3 linked regions of the Tamandua tetradactyla genome follow. The protein of the gene in region 1 interacts with the protein of each later gene in a pairwise test. Links are inferred from orthologs where the notes say so. Each region holds a gene or a part of one and is shown in the gene's direction. Other genes may lie near its edges.

Region 1 (7,269 bases):
CTACTGAGTATTTTCAACCAACGGTTGAGACCCACTGCTCAGAAAAAAAAGAATCCTTTCAAAATATGACTGCTCATTGACAATGCACCTGGTCACCCAAGAGCTCTCATGGAGATGGACAACAAGATGAGTGCTGTTTTCATGCTTGCTAACATAACATCAGTTCTGCAGCCCATAGCTCAGGGAGTTATTTCAAGTTTCAAGGATTATTATTTAAGAAATACATTTTGCAGGGCTGTGGCTGCCTTAGGTAATGATTTCTCTGATGGACCTGGGCAAAGTGCATTGAAAACCTTCTGGAATGGATTCACCATTCTAGATGCCATTAAGAACATTTGTAATTCGTGGGTGGAGGTCAAAGCATCAACATTCACATGAGTTTGGAAAGAGTGGATTCCAACTTTCATGAAGGACTTTGAGGGACTCAAGACTTCAGTGGAGGAAGTAACTGCAGATGTGGAAATAGCACGAGAACTAGAATTAGAAGTGGAGCCTGAAGATGTGACTGAATTGCTGCAACCTCATCATAAAACTTTTGTAGATGAAGAGTGGTTTCTCATGGATGAGTAAAGAAAATGGTTTCTTGAGATGGAATCTACACCTGGTGAAGATGCTGTGAACATTATTGAAATGACAGCAAAGGATTTAGAATATTACATCAACTTAGTTGACAAAGCAGTGGGAGGGTTTGAGAGGATTGACTCCAGTTTTGAAAGAAGTTCTACTGTGAGCAAAATGCTATCAAATGGCATTGTATGCTACAGAGAAGTCTTGTGTGAAAGGAAAAGTCAATCGATGTGGCAAATTTCATTTTTGTCTTATTTTAAGAAAGTGCTGCAGCCACCCCAACCTTCAGCAACCACCACCCTAATCAATCAGCAGCCATCAACATCGAGGCAAGACTCTCCAGCAGCAAAAGATTATGACTTGGTGAAGGCTGAGATGATGGGCAGCAATTTTTTAGCAATGAAATCTTTTTGAATTAAGGTCTGGACATTGTTCTTTTAGACATAATGCTGTTGCATGCTTAATAGGCTCCAGTGTAGTGTAAACATAACTTTTATATGCTCTGGGAAACCAAACTACTCATGGGACTTGCTTTATTGCAGTGATCTGGAACTGAATCTGAAATATCTCTGAGAAATGTCTGTACATCTGTTCAGACATGGGGAGACTCCCGAGGCACCAGGCCCCTGTGCACCTCTTCTGGAACCTTCCGTTGGGGTCTTCAGTCTCTGTGGCTCATCACTTGCACAGGGCCCCATAGTTACCACACCAGAGAGTGGAGGAATTTCAAAATGTTTTGGATGAGAGTTTAGGGAAATTTCAGAAGGAACTGGTGATGTTGGAGGGAAAAGATTGGCATGTCTGAGAGAAACGTTAAGGGACAAGTTCTCTCTCTTCCTTCCAGCCATCCTTGGTGGTCAATCTAAGTGAGGCAGGCCTGTGGAGATGGTGAGATGCCCATGGTTGGGAATGAAGTCTCCCCAACTCTTTGCTTCAAAAGGGAAAGCCTGTGTCCCTGGGAAGTGCGCCAGCTGCCCTCTGCTTTTGGCTGAGAGGAGACAAGTCTGCTGGACGTGAACTGGAGCAGAGTCCCTAGAGGGGCTTGATTACTGCTGACATTTCTCCAGAGGAGGGGAGAGCGTAGAGGCAGCCATCTGGTTGGAAGGGGGATTGGGAATGCTCCTTAAAGCACTTTGCATAGCAGGGCAAAGCATTTTCCTCTGAGTAGTGCATTTATTTGGAATGGTTGGAGGGGGCTGATAGAAATTACTATGGGACTAACACCTCCAATCTACTTTGTAATTTTACTGGCTGTGGGGACCCCCAAGAGAGCCAAGAGTGATATTAGGGAAGGCGACAGAAGGAAGTCTTCGTCTGCTGCCTAGTGCCTGGAGGGCACTCCCAGGGTCTGAGCTTGGGCAAGAGAGCAGAAAGACCCCGTGACTCTAGAGGGGTCACTTTACCTCTGAGGACTTCTGCTTCATTTGTTTTAAAATAAGGAGGATTTTAGTGGTTGTGGAATAACTTCTATGGGCCAGGCTATGTCTGTACTCCTGCCCTGGTTTTTGGGTGATGAGAACTGAGACCCACAGAGGTTAAATTCCTTTCTCAGGGTCACATAGTCCTTGCTTTCTCTCCAAGGTTGCCAGATTAAATACAGGGCAGTAGTTCAATTTGGGGTATACCTACATTAAAACATGATTTGTTTTTTCACACAAAAATCAACTTTAACTTGTCCTGTATTTTTTACTTGCTAACTCTGGCAACCTTAGGCAGCGGGTATTTTCAAGGGGTGAAGCCGATTTCCTGAGGAGCTTGGTGGGCTAGAAAAGGTGTGTGTGTGTATGTGTGTGTGTGTGTGTGCCTTTGGGAGGAGCTGAAGCTGTTCTCCAGGGGACTTTTTACTCTGAGAAAATGCAGCAGAAGAGTTAGAAAGCACTCCCTGCCACCTCCTCTGGGGGAGGCCAAAGATTGGAAATTGCTCTCCTTGCTGCCCATGGGCCCGTGATGAGGCCTTTGGACACCTGGGAATCAAAGAGATGATGCCATGTGGGATGGGTGGGCTGGAACATGAGGAGTGGGGTCAGGGCCTCTGCCCTGGTCTGGCCAGTGCCTGCACGGCAGACCTGACTGAGTAGTGCTCTCTGCATTTGGCATCCCTGTCTGTTGGGCCATTACCCAAAGGGCCCTTCCTGTTCCAGCCCTCTGTGGGTCTAAATTTGGCACTCTGCAGAGGGGAGCTGAGCCATCCTGGCCTCACCAAGCTCAGACCCTGGAACTGACAGCTCTTGTCCCTGCCAGTTGGTCCTGTCTGGGCCAGTCTGGTCCATAGGTTTCTCAAGGTTTTTGGCCTTAAGTGATGGGTGCCCCTGCCACCAGGGGGCAGTGCCTCTGCGAGCATCTGGACCCAGGTTCCCTGTTCCCTAGAAGCTCAGTTGGCAGCCAGAAGGATCTTCGGTCAGTGGCTCAGGGCCCTGCAGCAAGCCAGTGCCTGTACTGCCCAGCATCTGCTGACTCAGAGTGCCCCTCGCAACCAGGCAGCCCTCTAACCCCGTTGCCCACTGGGGGCACTGAGGCCCAAAGAAGTGAAACATTTGCCCAAGGTCAAATCTTGAGGTTGTGCTGAGGGTGGGCAGGGCCTAAGGCAGCCAGATAAAATACAAGCTATGCAGTTACATTTGAACCTCAGATAAACAAATTTTTTTTGTTTAGTATAAATAGTTCCCAAATAATGTATGGGGCATGCTGCTTCTAAAATTTTGTTTATCTGAAATGCAAATTTAACTTGGCATCCTGGATTTTTCTTGGTGAAATCTGGCAACCATGGTAGGTCAGAAACCCATGGCTGCCTAGTGTCCCAGGACCCACTGAGCAGCTCTCTGCAGCCTCTGCTTGATTTTGGGGTGGCAGAGAAGGAAGCCCTCCGGGAAGCTCGGGTTTCATGGCAGCTGCTGGCATGGGGTTGGGCAAGGCTCCTGGAGAGCCCCCAGGAATGGAGGCAGGGTCCCCGTCAGTTCAGCTGGGTGGGGGCTGAGTCCCAGCGCTGGACACGTGGGGCAAGGGACAAGTATAACCAGCCCCAGATCATGTAATGGTCTCTAAGTGAGCTCTAGCCTCTCCCTTCCCCCGTCCTCCCTCCTTCCTCCCCTCCCTCCTCTTCCGCCCACCTGGCCCCAGCTGTGCTTAGTTCTTTTCATCAACAGCTTCCCTAGAGACTCTGTGGCTATTCTCTAGAGTGGTCCCGGGAGCTTGCTGGAAGGAAGTTTTCTCATGGTTCTTGCAATGCTGAGCCAGGTTAGAGAAAGGCCATGTGCCTGCCTGAGAACTAGGGGTTAAGGGAGGCAGCACGTGCTCTGGGAGGACAGCTTCAGTGGAGGTGGGCTGGGGGGCAGCCTGGACTCTTTAGCTAGAGCTGGCCTCACAGAAGCCACAAGAGGCTTGGGACTAACCCTGCTTTGGCCAGCCACCATTTATGGGACCCTATGCCAGTCCTTGCCTCTCCCTAGAAATGATAGAGGGTGGACCCCACCTGCCCCAAGATGGGGCCAGATCAGGTGACCCCTGAGCCCAAACAGTTCTCACAGGCAAAGTTTTGAGCGTTATCTCTTCTCCTAAGTTGCTTACAGAGTAGCAGGGGAGAAGGCCACAGACCCAGTCAATAAGATAGAACAAGAACAGAAGGTGCTGGGCCCAAGGCCTGAGTGTGGAGAGGGAGTCTCTTGGCTCCACCCTTCTGCCCGCCCAGATATATCTGCCTGGAGCTCCTACCCCTCAAAGAGTGGTTTTCTAAGTGCCTCCTTTCTGACACGCACCCTGCGCAGCTCTGGCCACAGCCTACAAGTGAACAAGTGGCTTTGATGGCAGGAGAGCCCACTAACACCAAGGAGGAGATGGAAATGCCTTTGGCCAAGGAGGTGAGCCCTCAAGGCCAAGGGCAAAGTCAGGAGTGCCTGACAACAGCAGGTGAGGATCCCCTGAAATGCTCTCATCCTTGGGTGAGATGGCCAGCTGTGTGGACACACATCTGCACCTGTATGTGTATGTCTGTATGTGTGTGTGGGCACGAGCATGTGTCTGTGCCTTGGTGTACAAGCATTTGCAGCTTTCCCCTTATCTCGGAGCTTCTGAGCATCCCATGTGGGTGGAGGGCAGAAACAACAGTGGACATGGACCCTCTGTCTCCTCTGGTCCAAGTTCTCACTGTGTCTGTTGCAAAATATTCAAGTCAATTAATCAAATCAGTCAGACTGATTCTCTCTGCAAACCCTCCCAGTTCTTCCCCTTGGACTTTACCATAAACTCCAAACTCTGTGCCATGGTCTCCATGGCCCTATCAGTGTTGTCCCTTCAACCTTCTCCCTGTCACAGCATGCATGCAACATACAATGTGTATAGCACACGAAGGGCCCCACTCCACAGGGCATTTATATTTTCTTGTAACACCTCAAGCTTGTTCCTTTCTTGCAGCCTTTGTACTTGCTGTTGCTTCTGCTGGGAATGTTCTTGCAATGCTGAGCCAGGTTAGAGAAAGGCCATGTGCCTGCCTGAGAACTAGGGGTTAAGGGAGGCAGGACGTGCTCTGAGGGGACAGCTTCAGTGGAGGTTTTCCATGTCCAGGTTCTTTTTCCCTTTAAGGTCTCTGCTTCAATGTTGTTTCTTACTTTTCTACAAGTAGCCCCTTCTTCACTGCATGTTACCCTGCCTTTATTGTTCTGGGAGTGTGTATCTCTCTATGTGAAATTGCCTGGTTGGTTATTTTTGTTTTGCACTTTCACTCTGCTTAGTACACACATAGCTGGTTGGGTTTTTTGATTGCTGGGGCCTTATCTCGTGGTCATCGCTCTCTCCCCAGTACCTAGTACAGAGGTTGGCCTTCAGTAAATGTTTGGTGACTTGTTGAACAGATGAACAGACTGAGGCCTGGGACTGCCTAATGGGCAAGGGTGAGTGGGTACTGTGGATTGCTAAGAAATTTGTGGGGCTGTCTTCTTTATGGTGTTCCTATACCTAGAAAACCTTGGTACAACCTCTATCTTGGGACCTCTCTTCTTCTTCTAGAAATGACAGAGCAGGGATATTGGTCCCTAGGAGTCTACCAGCGGCGACAGAATTTGGAACTCAAGACTGTCAGCTGTGTTCTAGCCCCACCAGTTTGGAATATGACTGACATCCGCCCCAAGAAAATGGTTGTATGTGGGGTACTTGATACTTGGTGGCTGGGTTAAGGATGGGAATTTTGGCTATAGGTCTCCAGTCTGAGCATGGTAGGTACAGCAGGTCCAGATGTTGACTTGGGGGTCAGCAGAAGCTCCTTTGTGCCAGGCAGGAACCTGAGGGCAGGGGAACCCTTGAAAGATTTAGAACTGTCCTTTGGCAGGCAGGGAATCCAACCCTAGAAGTTCAAAATGTCTGAAGCACTCATTGCTTGGAGAGTACATATAAATGCTATTCTGTAAAAGCTGTACTGTGTGTGAAACGACACTTTCCTTGATTAAAAACAAAAACAAAACAAATGTATGTGGGGTGGGGGTAAGTTGTAAGCCGAGGTGAGTGAGGCTTCTAGGCTTCCTGGCTGTTACGAAATCCAATCACGTGAGTAACTATTCTGTAGCCAATCCTTTAGCTACACTGAAAGTGAGTGAAGGAATGTTCTAGAAAAAAATGGCAGTTACACTGTTGCAAAGGATACTGGGAAAGGGCAACCATTTTAGAAGAGGACTGAGACGTGACTGTTCTAGGGAATCACGTGAGTACTGTCTTTTGTCTGTAGCCAATCCTTTAAGCTTTGTTCAATGTGGATGGGGAAATGTTTCAGAAAAATTGTGCTATACTGCAGCAAAACCTACTGGGAAAAGATAGCCAGGTTAGAGGATGAACACACTGTCCTGGGAACCATGTGAGTCCTATGTTCTGTAGCCAGTATTTTAAGTTACATTAATGTGGGTGACGGAATGTTCTAGGAAAAATGACTATTTTATAGTGGCAAAGAATACTGGGAGAAGACATTGAGGTTGGGGAGGAGGGAGACCTGACTTTTCTAGGGGTTAGGTTACAATAAATGCTTAAATGATCCCATCCCCGAACGCAAAAAGAGAGAAAGAGCCCCCAGGTCAGAGACTGCTGGGAATGCATATAAACCAGAAATACTGGATTTACTTCCTATGTCCAAAGGCTGGAACCAAATCAAGTTCTTCCAGCAGATCGGACTCCAGGAAGCCACCCCTGCCCTTGAGACCGCAGGAGGATATAACCACTCGATTAATTAAATTTAGCTATTAGAACTAGAGAAGTGTCCTTAAAACCCACAGACATTATATTGAATTTAAAAATTAAGACTATTATTTGATTTATTAATTTGATTTATTATAAAACAGAACTATTAATGGAACTGCCAGTGCCTCTGAGACAACTGCAGCATGCAAGGGCCAAATAAATAGTGAGCCTTAAAAAGCACTTTTTTGAAACAATTGACAGCGGGAAATTTGGACATATTGCAGTTCATAGAATTTCCTATTCTCAATCAAATTAATATAAAAGCCTTACATTTTACAATGTATAAAATTTCAAACAGAGTTTTAAAAATAAAAAGGCAAAAAAGCAAATAACTGTTAACAAACATTTAGACTTATCTTATTCCAGGTGATCACAATAAAAGGTAGTATCAGCTTGGAGCTGTTGTTGTTAAATTAATTCTTACTATCTTGAAGTGCTGGCAACAAACTATGTTATCCTAAAGCAAACAAACAAAACCTGCCACTGTCC
Region 2 (7,741 bases), on another chromosome or scaffold:
AAATAGAAAAGACAGTAAGAAATATAAGGAACTGAGGTCCCACCCCACTCAAATTGGTGGAATGAGATATTCCAGAGTTCTATTTCCTCATCGAAGATTTGAACAACCAATAAGACCTGACAGAAACATCCTTCTCAAAGGTCCAGGAAACATTTAAAAGGATTGCAACTTTTTGTAATGGGGTGAGGTTATAATAAAGAAAAAGGCAACTGGAAAATAGTATGAAAACCTTTTTGTGAGGCCCTTGTTGTCCCCTCCTCCAAACTTTCACCATCTCAGTATGGAGTTGGCCCACACATCCAGTGCTGGTCCCTGGTCTTGGTTGGAGAGGGAAAAAAGTAACCTTCATGCCCATACTGGGAGCATGTCTGTCCATCCCTAGTCTAGTTAGTAGAAGCTTAAGGACTAAATCAGTACACTCATTAGAGGCTCATCACAAAAGAACTTGTTTTGCATGCAGAGGCAGCTCATACGATGCTGTGGGAGAGCAGTCAAGTCTGCTCTCTGCTGACTGACTGGGCTAAGGACTGCTGGTTGTGGAACAACAGAGCAGTACCCCGTACCGTAAGAAACTGCAGTGTCCTAGGAAGAGAGGAATTCATATCTATGTAAATGGGGTATTTCCTAGGGCTATGTGAGCATGCCCAAGACAAGACACATGGGCAGAAAGGACCAGGGAAGACCTTATGTTTTTGGCTTGAACTATTCTCTGATATCATTGTGTGGCTAAACTCTGAAGGAAAGCTCTCACAACACGCACAGGACAGTCTTCAAAGACTGGGAATGTGTTTCCTTTTTTCCTTCTCTCTTTTTTTTTTTTTTCAGTTAGCGCCTGGCAGTCAAGGAATAACACTACCTGGATAAAAGTTTAAAGAATGGGCGGGCCACGGTGGCTCAGCAGGTAAGAATGCTTGCCTGCCAAGCCCGAGGACCCGGGTTCGATTCCCAGTGCCTGCCCATGTTAAAAAAAAAGTTTAAGGAAAATGCCTCAGAATGATAAATTCCAGCAATAACCCATCAAAATATAAAAATTTCCAGATTTCAACAAAAGATTACAAAACATACAAAGAAACAGGAAGTTATGGCCCACCCCCCAAAAAGAAGATTATAACATTAGAAACCATTAACAAGGAAAACCAGACCTGGGACATTGTAGACAAAGACTTTTTAAAAAATGGTTCTTAAATATGCTCAAAGATAAAGATAAATATTGGACATAGAATTAAAGACATTAAGAAAATGGTAGTTGAACACAAAAAGAATATAAATAAAAGATAAAAATTATGAAAGGAAGCAAAGAGAATTAAAGACCATATAACAAAAACAAAAAGAAGGACTAAACAGATTTGAGCTGATATAAGAAAGAATTGGTGAACTTGAAGACAAGGCAATTTAAATCATTCAATCAGAGAAGGAGAAAGAAAAAAGAATAAAGAAAATCGAAGAGAGTCTGAGGAGCCTGTGGGACACCAGCAAGCATTCCAGTTTATGCATTGTGGGATCCCAGAAGAAAAAGAGAAAAAGGCAGAGAGAATTCAAATAAATAATGGCTGAAAACTTTCCAAATTTAATGAAAGATATGAATATATACATCCAAGTTACTCACTGAACTCCAAAAGGGATAAATTCAAATAGACCCATACTGTGACATATTATAATCAAATTGTTGAATAGCAAAGAAAAGAGAGAATTCTGAAAGCCGCAAGAGGGAAGAAACATGTCACATACAAGGGGACCTCAATAAGATTAAATGCTGAAGAAACCATGGAGGCAAGAAGGCAGTGGTATAACATACTTAAAATGCTAAAAACAAAAAATTGTCAACCAAGAATTCTATATCTGGCAAAACTCTTTCAAAAATGAGGTAGAGATGAAGACATTCCCAGATAAGCAAAAGCTGTGGAGTTCATCACCACTAGACCAGCCTAAGAAAAAGAGTGAATGGAGTTTGCAGGTTGAAAGGAAAGAATGCTAGACACAGATCAAAATCATGTGCAGGAGTAAAGAGCTCCACTAAAGGTAATGTCATGGATAAATATAAATGCCAGCACGACTGTACTTTTGGTTTGTCACTCCATTTTTACTTCCTACAGTATCTAAAAGGCAAATGCATAGAATATAATGATAAGTCAATGGTTTTGAACTCATATTGTATAAATATGTAATTTGTGACAAAAACTGCTTACAAGTGGGAGGACACAGGGGTATAGGAATATGGTTTGTGTTTGCTATTGAAGTTACATTGGTATCAAACCAACTGAGGTCAGTATAGCTTTAGGCTGTTAAATTTAAGCCCCATAGTTACCACAAAGAAAATATCAGAGAATATGCACATTCATGGAGACAAAAAGTAGAGCATGGGTTACTAGGGGCAGGAGAGCAGGACAAATGGAGGAATTAAAGCCTAATGGGTGTAAGACTTCTGTTTGGGGTAAAAAGAAAGTTCTAGTAAGGAATGATGGTGAGTGTACTGCAACATTGTAAAGGTGATTTTTCCCACTGCTTGGTATGCATGGGAGTGGTTGGGATGGAAAGATTTATGTTGTATATGTTTTCACAATTAGAAAAAAGGAGCAACTAAAGAGACAATTCAATGCAGTATACTGGTCAGGATCTAACAAAGGTGGAGAAAAGGCTCAAGAGGACATTACTGGAACATATGAAAAAAATACAACATAGACTATACACTCTTAAATTTGGACTACATTAAAATTAGGAGTTTTTGTTCATAAAAATTTATCATTAAGAGAGTGAAAAATGAAAGCTACATGTGGAAAGGTATTTGCAACACATAACTACCAATGGTTGGGGATTGAATTTGTGTCCTCCACAAAAGACATGATCAAGTCTCAACCCTTGGCCCTGTGGGTGTTGACCCTTGATAAGTAGGATCTCTTGAAGCTGTTATTTCAGTTAAGATGTGGCCTAACTGAATTAGGTTGACCTTTAATCCATACTACCAGAGTCATTTATAAGTAGAATGAAATTCAGGCACAGAGAGAACAAAGCCATGGGGAGCAGCCAGAAGCTGGAAGTCAACAGAACCCGGAGGAGAAAGGAGAAGATGCGGTCATGTGTGCTGCCCGTGATGGAAAAGCCAAGGAACCCCAAAGGTGGCAGGCCAGTCAGAAGGCACCAACCTCAGGGGGAAGCAAGCCTCCTAGCCTCTGAAACCATCAGTCAATAAATTCCAACCCATGGCGTGGCATTTGTTTCAGCAGCTAGGCAACCAAAACACAGATTCTATTCAAAACATGAAAAGGACTATTACAAGTAAAAAACAAAACAAAAACATACAAAACAGAAGGCCCAATACTAAAATGGGAAAGTACCTTGAACAAGTATTAGTCAGGGAATTGCCAATTAAAATCCTGACGAGGTATGATTGCATATACACTGTGTTACCATGGTTTTGACTTTACCCTTTTTGTTGCTCTATGGAAATGTGTCTGGACTTTTAATTTTTTTCCTTGTCAGCGGGCACTGACTCTTGGTCAGTAGAGGATGCTGGGGAGACTTTGCAGGAGGAAAGAGTTTTGCTTCCTGGCTCCAGTGCATCTGGCTTCCGCAGTGTGCTCAGCTTCTCTGGGCCTGGCTTCTACAGGACCCGCAGGGAGCAGAGCCCCGAATACCTCTAGTGAGACAACTCCCCATGCACAACTTCTCCAGCACCCCGGAGGGTGGATTTTCACCCAGTCCACAGCGTCTTCTCTGCTGGGCGTTGGTAAGCTGGGCGGTGGAGAGGCGAAGAAAGACCTAGTGGTAATATCTGCTCTTAATATCTGGTCTTTCCTTACTCTTTGGAGTTCTCTTTACCTCCTACTGGTCAATCTCTCATAACTTCATTTCCCTGTTATAATCATTCTTTGTATTCAACTTTCTCTGTCCAGATTACTGCATAGTTTCTCCCCTGATTAGACCCAGACTGATGGATCCGCCTTTAAAAAGTGGCAATACCAAGTTTTGTCAACGATGTGGAGCAACTAAACCGTGTACACGGTTAGTAGGAATGGAAATTGGTACACTGTTTTGGAAATTGTCAGTATTTACTGAAGTGAAATGCATACTCTTCAATTCTACTCCTGGATAAATACCCACCAGAAATGTGAACATAGGTGTACCCAAGTATTTACACAAATGCTCATGGAAGCTTTATTCATAATAGCCAAATATCAAAACAACCCAATTGTCCATCAATAATAGAATGAATAAATTGTACTATCTGAGACAGTGGAATTTATAAACATCAATGGAAATGAACTACTGCTTCACACAAGAATAGATCTCATAAATATACTAGTGGACAAAAAAGCCAGATACAAGACATATATTCAGTGTGATTCCATTTTCATAAAGATTTAAAACTAATAAATCTAATCTGTGGTATAGGAAGGCAGAATAGGGGATGCTGTAAGGCTATCATTTGCTTAATTCTGTACTAATCACATAGAATTTCAGTAACTATGTTTTCAGTTGAGTTGTTAAGTTGGTGAGCCTAGGTAATTTCTAATAAGATTCGAAGGATGTCTTGAAGTGGGTATGCAGAGAGCTTCTCTCCTGCCTGGCCTTTCTCCCAGTTTTCCTCTCCAGAGTTTCTTTTTTTTATCTGAAAAACAGGGTAATTTTTTTTTTATAAGGCAACTGCTACTGTCAGAGTCCCCTAGCGAAACATGATTTTCCGGAAGGCTGTCCCTGGAAACAATCAGGCAGAATGTGAAGTAACAATCATTTGTGAGTCATCAACAGTACTGGCCTTCTGATGAAGTGAAAGTGGAAGAGGGCATAGTCTTTCAAACCTTGTAGGTTCTCTAACCTCTAGCTAAAGTCTCTTATTCAGAGTCTCATCTTGGGTCTTTTTGCCTTGTGAACCAGGACTGAGAGAGCAAGCAGTGCTTGCAAGCAGTGTTGGGTGAGATGTGACAATGACGTCACTAAGGATCTGACATGACAATGACCACCTGCCCTTTGAGGGTGATAGGACTTGCCCAGTTGGGAAACAGCTAAGCTGTAAGTAACCATTGCCTTCTCATTTGATAGTGTTGGCTTTAAGCATAGGTTCATATATAGCATTTCCCTTAGAAATTATTTCTTAATCTTTAAGTAGAATGATGATTAGGCATGTTTCTTTGTTTCATGCCCTTATATCATCTTCTGCTCAGAGGTAATTTGATCATAACTTGGAGTTGAATTTTTCTAGTATCTTGAACCCAGGGGACTGGCCTTCATTCTGCCATTTACTAAACAGCTCTATGTCAGACATTGTATTAGATGCTGGATGTGGAGAGGGGTGAAAAGTGTTCCTGGTGGGTCAGGAGGGGCATAAACTCAGTCTGAGCAAGACAAAGGAGTGACAGGTGAGGTTTCCCAGAGATCTGACTCCTTATTTGGGTCTTGAAAGATTAGCTGGGTGAAGTGAAGTGGGGTTAGGCAGACTATCCAGGGAGGCAGAACAGCATGGCAAAGGTAAAGAAGGTAAGCATAGTTGAGGAATTTTCAGATGGCCAGAGTATCTGAGAGTTCTAGAATGGCTTTCAGGGGCAGATCATGATAGCTCTTGCATGTCACCCTAAGAAAATAAAAACAGCATCATAATAGTAATTATAATTATTCACATTTTCTACATTTATTGACCACTTTTTATGTGCACTCAATATACCCAATTTGTTCCTTGCAAGAGTGCTATGAGGTAGGACAAGGTGTACTCCATTGGGAAAAGGAATCCATAAACAGACTAAGAAAGAACTATCTGGAAAGTAAGAGGAGAACAGGATAGCCTGATATCAAAGGAGTCAAGGGGGGGGAAGAAAATTTTAGAAAGGATTAGCATCGAGTGCTGCCAAGATGATCTTAATTGGTACAGTTTCTGAGAAGTTAGGAGGCAAAAGATAGACCACTGTAAGATGACGGTGCAAAATGGCAATGCAGACATAGTGATAGTGCTTGTCACCTATTCTTTTAAGAGAGTGTTAGCAAATAGAGGGAATTAGAGGACTCTGGTTTTTGTTTGTTGGTTGATTGGGTGTCTGTTTTTATGATGAGACTTGAGCAAAGTTTATGTGCTGACAGACAAGAATGAGCAGAAAGAGAAAGAAAGCAAGAGAGACAGAGAGTAAGAGAGAGGTCAGAAACTTACTGAGTGAAAACAAGGGAGCCGTGAGGAGATAGGACAAAGTCACAGGAAGAGAACTTACCTTGCTAAGAGAGTGAGCTGAAAATTGAGGAATTTCATTCTACAAGTTTCTTTTTTCTCCATAGATAGAAGGCAACAACCTCTGAGAATGAGGGAGAGTCCGTGAAGACTTGACGGGAGCCTTGAAGACGTCAAAGAAACCGTAAGACACCAAATGCCATAGTAGGTCTCTCCTGCTGCTGCTCAGGCAGGGACTTAGATTCAGAGGGAAACAAATCTAGTTAAGTGAACTCTTGGCACTCACTGAGCTAATTTGTCTTTTTTTTTTTTTTTTTCTATTCTCAAGTGACTCTAACATCTGTGGTGTTGGTGAGGAGATGCCACTTTGAATGACAAGAGTTATGAGGCTAAGAAAGTGAATTTCTTAGCAAACTGAGCCAGCCTCCCAGAATGTACTTCTCAGCTCAGCTTTGAGGTTCATCTTCTCCTCATTGGGTTACATCCTCTGTTTCTTCATGGAAAGCAGCCCTAAAAGGAAAGCTAATAGCAAAGGCTTGTGATAGGCCTGCAGAAAGTGTGAGAAGTTCTAAGAAAGCCGTAGAGTAACTACATCAGCTATAGTTGAAATCTGTGGCCAAAAAAAGGGAGAAGTTAATTAAACTGCTTTATCAGTGAGCTCTTTAGTTAGTGCAAACACTGTTCATAGAGTAAAAAAATAAAACTTTAGCATAAGTTGGAGGGGTGACTGCTTTTGGTGTTGGGATATGTCCAGGAAACACTTGAGAAGTCAGAAGCCTGCCCAAACATTTCCTTTGTAAACTAGAGACAGATGGCTCTCACAAATGAAAAGGGACTATTGTGAACTGTATTTGTTGTTTGTTGAAAAATTTAAGCTGTTATTGTCTTTAGTGATAACATTCAATATGTTTTAATTCACATGTTCGTATATTTCCTTCAGCCATAGTGTTATGAGGAGAGATTATCTTTCATTCAACATTAATGACCAACTTGTTCCATGTTGCTGTTATCAGTTGGTCCCAGGCTTGATGTGAAGTCTCTCTCTTACACATACACTCGCACTCACAAACACACACACACAGTCACACCCCCTTCCTAACGAAAATATCAACTTGATGGTGTTTACAAGCAGCATTGCTTAATCATGTGATGTCTTTATAAAACGACCTTTGGCTTCTTGCAGAATCTTGACTCACAGACTTAATGATTTGGACAAGATATTTATTTATTTAAGCCTGGTTTTCTCAGTTACAAAACAGCATTACTCAAGGTGCCTGTCTCACACTGTTGTTGAAAGATGAAGCAGATGGTGCAGGTGAAGTGTCTAGCATCAAAGTGCTGAATGAATGGGTAGGTTGTAACTGTTATTATTGATATCGTAATTAGAAAGCTGGTTGTTGTCCACTGCTATCTTGGCTTTGCTCACAAACAGTCGTCCCATCCAGTTCAACGAATGATTGTGGAGGGCCTGCTCTGTGAACTCAGGGCAGAAAGAAAATAATGTAGGGAATTCATAGAAGAATGAGGCACTTTTTCTGACCTCAAGATATTAATAGTAGGGATAAAATAACCCTAATAAACATGGAAAATCAA
Region 3 (7,455 bases), on another chromosome or scaffold:
ACTTTGCTCCTACTGTTCCCCAACCTGAAACACTCTTCCCTCCACAGCAATCATTTGAAATTCAGTCAGTTTCTCGAGATTCCCATCAAACACCTCCTCCTCCACGAGAACCACCCTGATGCGTGTGCATCCTCTCGTTGAGCCTGGCTCTAGGCCTTCTCTCTCCTGAGGCCCTGATCACTTTCTGTCTGGAATTTATGTATTTCTGTCCTGGCTTTGTCTCTAACTTGAAACTAAGCATTTGCCTTTGTCTCTGGCTCAGCTCCAGCCTGCTACCAGATCAAACATAGTTTTCTTCCTCTTCTTAAAAGAAAAAAAAACCTTTTCCCGATTACCAAATTAATATGCTTATATAGAAAACCTGGAAAACACAGAAAAATACAATGCAGAAAATTTGACCACCTGCAATCCTACTGCCCAGACAGGACCACTTTGCTTTGTTGTGTTTCCTACCAGAACTTTCTTATACAGGGACTTTTAGAAATGTGGGATTTATTCCTGAAACCCAGAGGGACCAGCCTCTCCAAGATTATCAATTAATTACCTCCCCCTATCCTTTAGTGTTGACACCCCTTCACAACATGAAAAAGCCAGAAAGGGGGCGGGCCGCGGTGGCTCAGCGGGCAAGAGTGCTTGCCTGCCGTGCCGGAGGACCCCGGTTCGATTCCCGGCCCCAGCCCATGTAAAAAACAAACAAACAAACAAAATATAATAAAACAAGAAAATGTTTAAAAATGTTTCCCTTTCTTCCTCCCTTCCTTCCTTCTCTGTCTTTCCTTCCTTTCCTCCCTCTCTCTAAATAAAAAAAAAAAAAAAAAAAAAAAAAAGCCAGAAAGGGCATTGCCCAGGGATCCCTATGGATTAGGAGAAGGATCCGGGGGAATGGAGGAGGCATAGCAGAGAGAATAGGATTTGGAAAACAAGTATGACTGCTGAATCACTATATTAATATCCCGTCTAGCCTCCAGCGTTTAGGAGCATCTAGAAGGAAAAAATCTGGAGGAATGGTAGCCCATGACAAATTCTGGGACCTGTTCTGTAACTACTTGCTGAGGTGTGCTTTGAAAATTACTGCTTTTTTCTTTCTTTGCTTTGTATATGTTATAGTTTATAATAAAAAATGTTTTTAAAAGTATGGGATTTATAGTGGACACACTAATTTGTAAAACACACTATTTTATCTAATAGATCACACATCTCCAAGATACAGTACCTTTTGTGGACATGTTAAAACTCTTTACCATTCAGCCATAAAAAGGAATGAAGTTCTGACACATGCTACGAGATGGTTGAACCTGGAAATCATTATGCTAAGTGAAAGTACCTGACACAAAAGGCCACATATTGTCTGATTCCACTTGTATGAAAGGTCCAGCACAGGCAAATCCATAGAGATACAAAGCAAATTAGAGGTTGCCAGGGGCTGAGGTGGGGGGGCAGAGTGGGGAGTGGCTGCTTAATGGTGTGGGGCTCCTTTTGGAGTGGAAAATGTTCTGGAACTAGATAGTGGTTACATTTGCACAACATTGTGAACGCATTAAATGGCACTGAATTTTACACTTTAAAATGGTAAATTGTATGTTAGGTGCATTTACCACTATACAGGTGGTAGAGGCAGGATTCGAACTTGGTACATCTCAGATCTCACCCACCAGGCTGGCTGCAAGTCGTCTTCCCAGAGAAGACTCATAATCAAACACAAGTTTGCTTTACTCTGGGTGTGGCAGCGGGGAGTGGGGTGTCACAGACTTTCAGAAGTCCAGCTACAGTCTTCAAAGGTGGATGGGACAAAGGGTTCCAACCTCTTGGCTGTGTGCCCTGGTGCCGGTTAGAACCCCTCTCCAAGGCTGGTCTCTAGTGGGGAGACTCTGTCCCTATGGATTTGCCTATGCTGGATTTTTCATACAAGCAGAAGGAGGTACATGAAACCACCCAGGCAATGTGCCCGGCCCACTGTGCTCCCTGCGAGGTGCTCCTGGGAAGGGCGCAGGTGAAATGCACGGGTGAGGAGGGGGCCTGCCAGGCTGCTCTGCCTCCTGGCACTAAACTCAGGCCCAGCTTGGGAAAGAACAGAGAAGCCCTTTGAGGAGCCGACCCTCCTGATATTACACAGGCTTCCGCAGAGCCCGCAGAGCTCAGGGATTTTCCAGATAAGGTGTCACCTCAAGGCTGGGCATAAAAGTCTGGGATGACGAGTGGCCAGACAGGGCCATTTCAAACCCACACCAGCTTCTGGCTCTCCAGGTGGGGCTCTGGACACCGAGGCCAGCACTTGGCAAGCAGGTGGTCATTTTCTTGTCCACCCTGCACACGCTGCCAGCTCTGTCCCTTCCTTCCCCTCTCCAGCCATGGGCATCACCCTCAGGTCTCTGGAAGGCTCCTCTCCTCACTTCCCTCTGTGCACGAAGTTCGCCTCGCTCAGAGCCTCCTCTGGCCACCCTGGCTAAAAGGCCCACCCCTGTCCTCCACCCTCCACCCCTCCCCTGCTCCACGCTCCTGCGCTGGTGCTGTGCCTGTGACTGCTGGACACTATTTTCCCGTCACCAGGTTTATCCTCTATCTCCTGCACTAGGATGTGTCATCTCTGGACCCCATCACCGACCATCCTGCCTGGCACGTGCCAAGTTTCACTCAATTTGTTAAATGAATAAGCAAATAAATGCATATCAATGACAACCTGAAGTGGTGCCCAAGGGTCTGTGGGCAGTAGATCCTTGAATAACAGACAAAAGCGGTCATGGTCGCAGCAGGAGGGGCTTGGGTGGGGGGGTGGAGGGGGGGTGGGGGGGTGGGGGTCGCTAGGAAGGTTCAGAGGCCCCAGAGGCAGCTCCCCTGGACTGCCACTCAGGTAAGGAAGGGACTGCACCACGGGCCTGAGTGCAGGATCCCCGGGACTTGCACCCACCTCTGCTGCTGTCCTCCCTCTGCTAAGCCTCAGTTTCCCCATCTGTAAAACAGGTCACAAGTTGTCCCGTGCCTGTTCACGCACCCTGTGAGTGCTCCAGCTTGTCATATGGAAGGGGTGTGGTCCGTCCTGTCACATGGGGGTGGTTGGCTGCAAGAGTACAGGAGCTCCTTATTAGGGAGTGCTTAGCCCTAGGTGTGGGGGCCAAACAGGTGGGACAAGTCACCTTATCCTTGAACTGTTAATACCATTTGCCATCTAACCCAGGGCCTTTTTTGGACTAAAGGACCAATTCTTATTCAAAAGGATTTTGCCTCTTCCTCCATTTAATCAGCATATTACCAAGGGAACTTGCAAGGCAAATTTTTTTAACCCACTCCTCCCAGCCCTTCTATCCCCCATCTATCCCCAGACTGACCTCCTTCCTCTGTTTGCTCTGCTAACATTGATTGAGTGCCCACTCTGTGCCCTCTGCAGTGCCCTTGCTTCACCCGAGGGCCCTCAGGGGGCATTTCTACCCACCTCGGGTCTTTTGGCCTGTAACACCCTGTGTCACCGCTTCTGTTTCACTTTCCCTGAGTATTTTGCTGGCTCCTCACTCCTGCCTGTAAGGCACCCTGTGGCCGGCCAGACCCTGGGGACAGCGGCTTTGTGGGGCTTAGGCTTTATGAGACCTGGGGACCTCATTAAGACAGGGACATGCATTTACAAAGACATTTGGGCTCTGAGTTCTTCAAAGCTTCGCTAACTTTCCCCTCTGACCCTAACAGCTCCAGGGGTCGGTGCCGTCTTCCCTTTTAGCACATGAGGACACTGAGTGAGAGGCTGGTCACCCCAGTGGTGATGTGACCCTGAGGGCCCCACAGGTGGCAAATGGCAGAACAGCCCAGGGAGCCCCCTCTGGGCCCCACCCTATGCCCTCAGATCAGACTGAGGTAAACAAGCCTTGTTGTGTTCTCCAAACAAAGGTTACTTTGTTATCCCTGCTCAGCCTCTCCCTTCCTCCACCCCAAACAGCCCCTAGGCCTGGCCTGGGGGTTTCTGCTCCCTCCCCCCACTCAGGGCTCCTTCCATTCCTCCTGCTTCCACAGGAGCTCTGGGCACCACCTCGCTCTAGCCTCCACTGCTTGTCCACCCTCCATTTTCTTGCAACAAGGAGCCCCAGGGCAGGTCAGGATGCCCCAGCTTTGCAAGGCTTGGGGGGTACCGGGAACAGGTGTGTGCAGGCCAAAGGCTGCACCAAGCCGGGATGGAAGCAGTGATGGGGGTGGGGGGAAGCTGCCCTATTTTCTACATTTGCGAAATTTGCTTACAAATACCTAATTCCCGAAGCTACCAGTGTAAAGAGTACGGATATCTGAGCACTGACTTCACACTGCCACTCAGCAAGTCATTTTGTCCTCTCTGAGCCTCAGTTTTCTCATCGGTAAAATGGGCACCGGAAAAAGCACCGACCCCTTAGGACTTTTTTGAACGGAATGAAGGTTGTATACAGTGGCGCAGATTTGGCCAGTAGCTCCATCCCCAAATATTCCGCCTGGGCTACTGCATGCACAGTCGGCAGCGAAAGGACAAAAACAAGCTTGCAGATTTGCGGAGCCACAGAGACAATAAACAAGTACGCAGATTACACTTGTAGCAGTTCTGTTACCATTTGCGGTCTCAGTCTTGGCCTCCGGGAGGTGGGGCGAAGGAGGCCGCCCTGGGGGCGGGGTCGCAGGGCGGGCGGGGCCTCGAATTCCAGGTGGGAGGGGGAAAGGGCGGGGCCGACGGCGTCGGGGCCAGAGCGGGCGGGATGGAGGCTGGGCCGCGGGCGCGAACCCCCCTGAAGAGAGGGGCTTGGGCGGGGCGTGGGCGGGGCCCGGCCGGCCTATCCTGTCCCGGGCCGTCCGCAGAGCCTCAGACAATACACCTCCCGGGTCACGCCACCGCCAGACGCCGCCGGCACTGTAGCCACCGCCGCGGGGGTGACTGCGATCCAAACGCGCCCCGCCCGCGTCCTCTACCTCGCTGCTGTCCGACCCTCCGCCCAGCCCGAGCCGGGCAGGTAAACGCCCTGGGGGTCGCCGGGGGGTCCGAGCGGGTGGAAGGCTGAGGACCCGTGGCCCAGGTTTTCGTCCCCAGGGAAAGTGTAGGATGTGGTATGTGCGGAGCGGAGACTCGGAGACCTCGGCTCTGCGATCGCCCCGGATGATTCCAGTTGCGGCCCCCTGCGGGCCTCAATCTCCGCATCTGAGCAATGGGGTGGTGGCCCCCTTGCCCGGCGCCGCCCTCCTGCGCGGCCTCCCGGCTCTGGGCTCCATCTCGATCTCGATCTATTGGGGGCCGTCGGGGGATGGGTTGGGCGGGCAAGAGTGCGGTGCCGGACCCCAGGCCCAGAGCCGGGACGTCAGAGCCCCAGGTTCCCCTAAAAAAAGGGAAGATGGCGTCGGGCACCTGTCCCCACCGGGACCCGAGCGCCGGGAGCCTCCGCGCACCTGCGGAGGGGTCGGAGAAAGGCTTTATCTTAGAGCGCCGGGAAAGCCCGGAACAGGAACTGGTGAGCGGAGCCGGGCGCCGCCGCTGACCCGCACCTGCCCACGCCCCTGCACAGGTGCGCACAGCGGGCGGAGCCGCGGCTCGACCCCGAGGCGGGGCGCCAGGCTCTTGTTTTGTAAACAGGGAGCCGCCAGCCCGCGCGCTTAGCGTTTGAATGGGCTCGGGGACGCGGTTCTTCGGTCACCCGGGAGGGGACCCGGCGCAGCCTGCGGGCCCGGCTTTAATAAGCGCTGGCGGGCTCCCGGCTTGTTCAACTTTCGCGGTGGCGCCTTGGCCTCCTGGATGCGCGTCCGCTTTGGAAACCGGTAATTGCTACTCTGATATTCTCCCGGACCATCCATCCCTGGGGCACGGGACGTTGTTGCCGCTGCACTTGCAACATTTTTTGAGCACCTGCTGTGACCGGCCCTGTATCAAGTGCCCCCCCCCACACACACACCTGTAATCCTTGCCCCAGTTCGCAGAGAAAGGGACAGTTAGCAGCCTTGTAGTTCCCACGTTGAGAAGGGGAAAATCCAGCCCATACTAGGAAGATGTGCTAGCCGCTCCCGACACAGGAGATTTCATTTTACAGACGGAGAAACTGAGACCAGCCTCCCACCGCCCAGAAAGGGATATAAACAAATACCCAAGCTGCAGAGCTCAAAACCCAGAGCTGTTTTCTTGAAGCCAAGACTCTGCTCTCCACTCAGCGGCTTTCCAGCTATGTGGACTTCCACAGGCTACTTCACCTCTTTGAGCCTCAGTTTCCTCCTTCTGTAAAATAGAGATTACTGCATTCTCTAAAGGAACCCCGGAGGAGTCTGGCCAGGTATGGAGAAGCCATGCCAGCCCAAGGGCAGCTAGCTGTTAGCAGCACCCTAGAGTTAATGATACTTAACCTTTTTTCTACTTGGAGTTTTTCACCTCTTTGGGCAGAGCCTCAGAATAACTTCTCAAGTGGTACAATTTTGGTGTTTCTTGATACCGTCTGGTGGTGGTTCCCTGAATGGATGGGCACAGGTGATCACAGGCAGGAGCCAGGTCCTCTCCCAGAGGCAAAGGTGGCAATGAGTCCTTCTGCTCCCGGGCAGCTGTGCGTACCTGGGTGCCTGGAGGCTCAGTAGCCTGCCTGACCTTCCTTATCTCGCTGCCCTCCCGCCTTGCCTCGTCTGTTCTCCACTCCTCCCCCTCGCTTCTCACTCCTGGATTTGGGGATTTCCCACTATCTTCTGAACCTTAAGGTCACAGGAGCCTTTAGGGACTGATTTAGCTGCGGCTTTCCCACAAGCTTGGTTGCACCATTTTCCTTTACTTTTCTAGCTTTTCGTTTATATAATGGTTATTAAATATCAGGGGAAACTGGCTGCCAGGGTGTGGGTTTTCGGCCAGTACCTCAAAAATGTCCTTTTCCAGGGCTGCGAAATTATTTAATCAACTTTCTAAGATAGCTTCTAGTCGCTTTAGGGGAAGAAGGAGGGTGATGGGGAAGTTGATAAATGCTGCTGACCATCTCCAAGCACTGGGGATGCAGGGTGAACTTCCATGGGATATTGCGAGGCCTCGGGATCACCCGGGTGAAACATTTAGTCCCATTGGGTGCTCGGCCCCTCATACGTTTTGTCTTTGCCTTCTTGGCCCAGTTGCCGCTTCCTCTGAGAAGTCTTCCCTGAACACCCCTCCCTCCCTACCACCACTCCCTTGGTCTGTGACCTTGCTTTGTCTTCAAAACACAGTAGAAAGTGGGAAGTTATCTTCTGCGTTAATGTGTACAGAGTGGCCCCCCTAGCCTTCACTTCTGTGAGAAGAGAAGCCTTGAATGTCATGTTCACTGCCATATCCTGGTGCCTGGGCACTTGGGTAACAGATGGAAGGGCTGCCTACACGTTAATTATTGTGAGTTTTAGGTGCTTAGTACATATAACAGCAGAAAAATGACATCTGAAATCACTAAGCCACAGAGAAGAAACCAGAGACCACTGCGAACAGGTCCATTTTTCCCCTTCTGATCAACTTTCTGGAAAATAAATGGA

What was found.
Region 2: the proteins of FATE1 (region 1) and CCDC70 interact in binary tests that used the Homo sapiens proteins (3 or more experiments, as listed by UniProt). The two-hybrid records come from large-scale screens. The link is inferred for Tamandua tetradactyla from reciprocal best matches to the Homo sapiens genes FATE1 and CCDC70.
Region 3: the proteins of FATE1 (region 1) and BIK interact in binary tests that used the Homo sapiens proteins (3 or more experiments, as listed by UniProt). The two-hybrid records come from large-scale screens. The link is inferred for Tamandua tetradactyla from reciprocal best matches to the Homo sapiens genes FATE1 and BIK.

Annotation. Positions count from the first base shown.
Region 1 is NC_135353.1:3,542,175-3,549,443, forward strand, and holds the start of FATE1 (fetal and adult testis-expressed transcript protein), read left to right. Parts: upstream 1-4,258; 5' UTR 4,259-4,364; coding exon 4,365-4,470; intron 4,471-5,565; coding exon 5,566-5,696; intron 5,697-7,269. UniProt on the Homo sapiens protein: Involved in the regulation of endoplasmic reticulum (ER)-mitochondria coupling. Negatively regulates the ER-mitochondria distance and Ca(2+) transfer from ER to mitochondria possibly implicating it in the regulation of apoptosis.
Region 2 is NC_135330.1:105,214,352-105,222,092, forward strand, and holds the start of CCDC70 (coiled-coil domain-containing protein 70), read left to right. Parts: upstream 1-4,740; 5' UTR 4,741-5,007; intron 5,008-5,018; exon of another isoform or gene 5,019-5,161; intron 5,162-5,192; exon of another isoform or gene 5,193-5,354; intron 5,355-6,255; exon of another isoform or gene 6,256-6,259; 5' UTR 6,260-6,332; exon of another isoform or gene 6,333-6,352; intron 6,353-6,476; exon of another isoform or gene 6,477-6,805; intron 6,806-7,331; 5' UTR 7,332-7,498; intron 7,499-7,741.
Region 3 is NC_135333.1:36,798,472-36,805,926, forward strand, and holds the start of BIK (bcl-2-interacting killer), read left to right. Parts: upstream 1-4,454; coding exon 4,455-4,523; intron 4,524-4,800; coding exon 4,801-4,952; intron 4,953-7,455.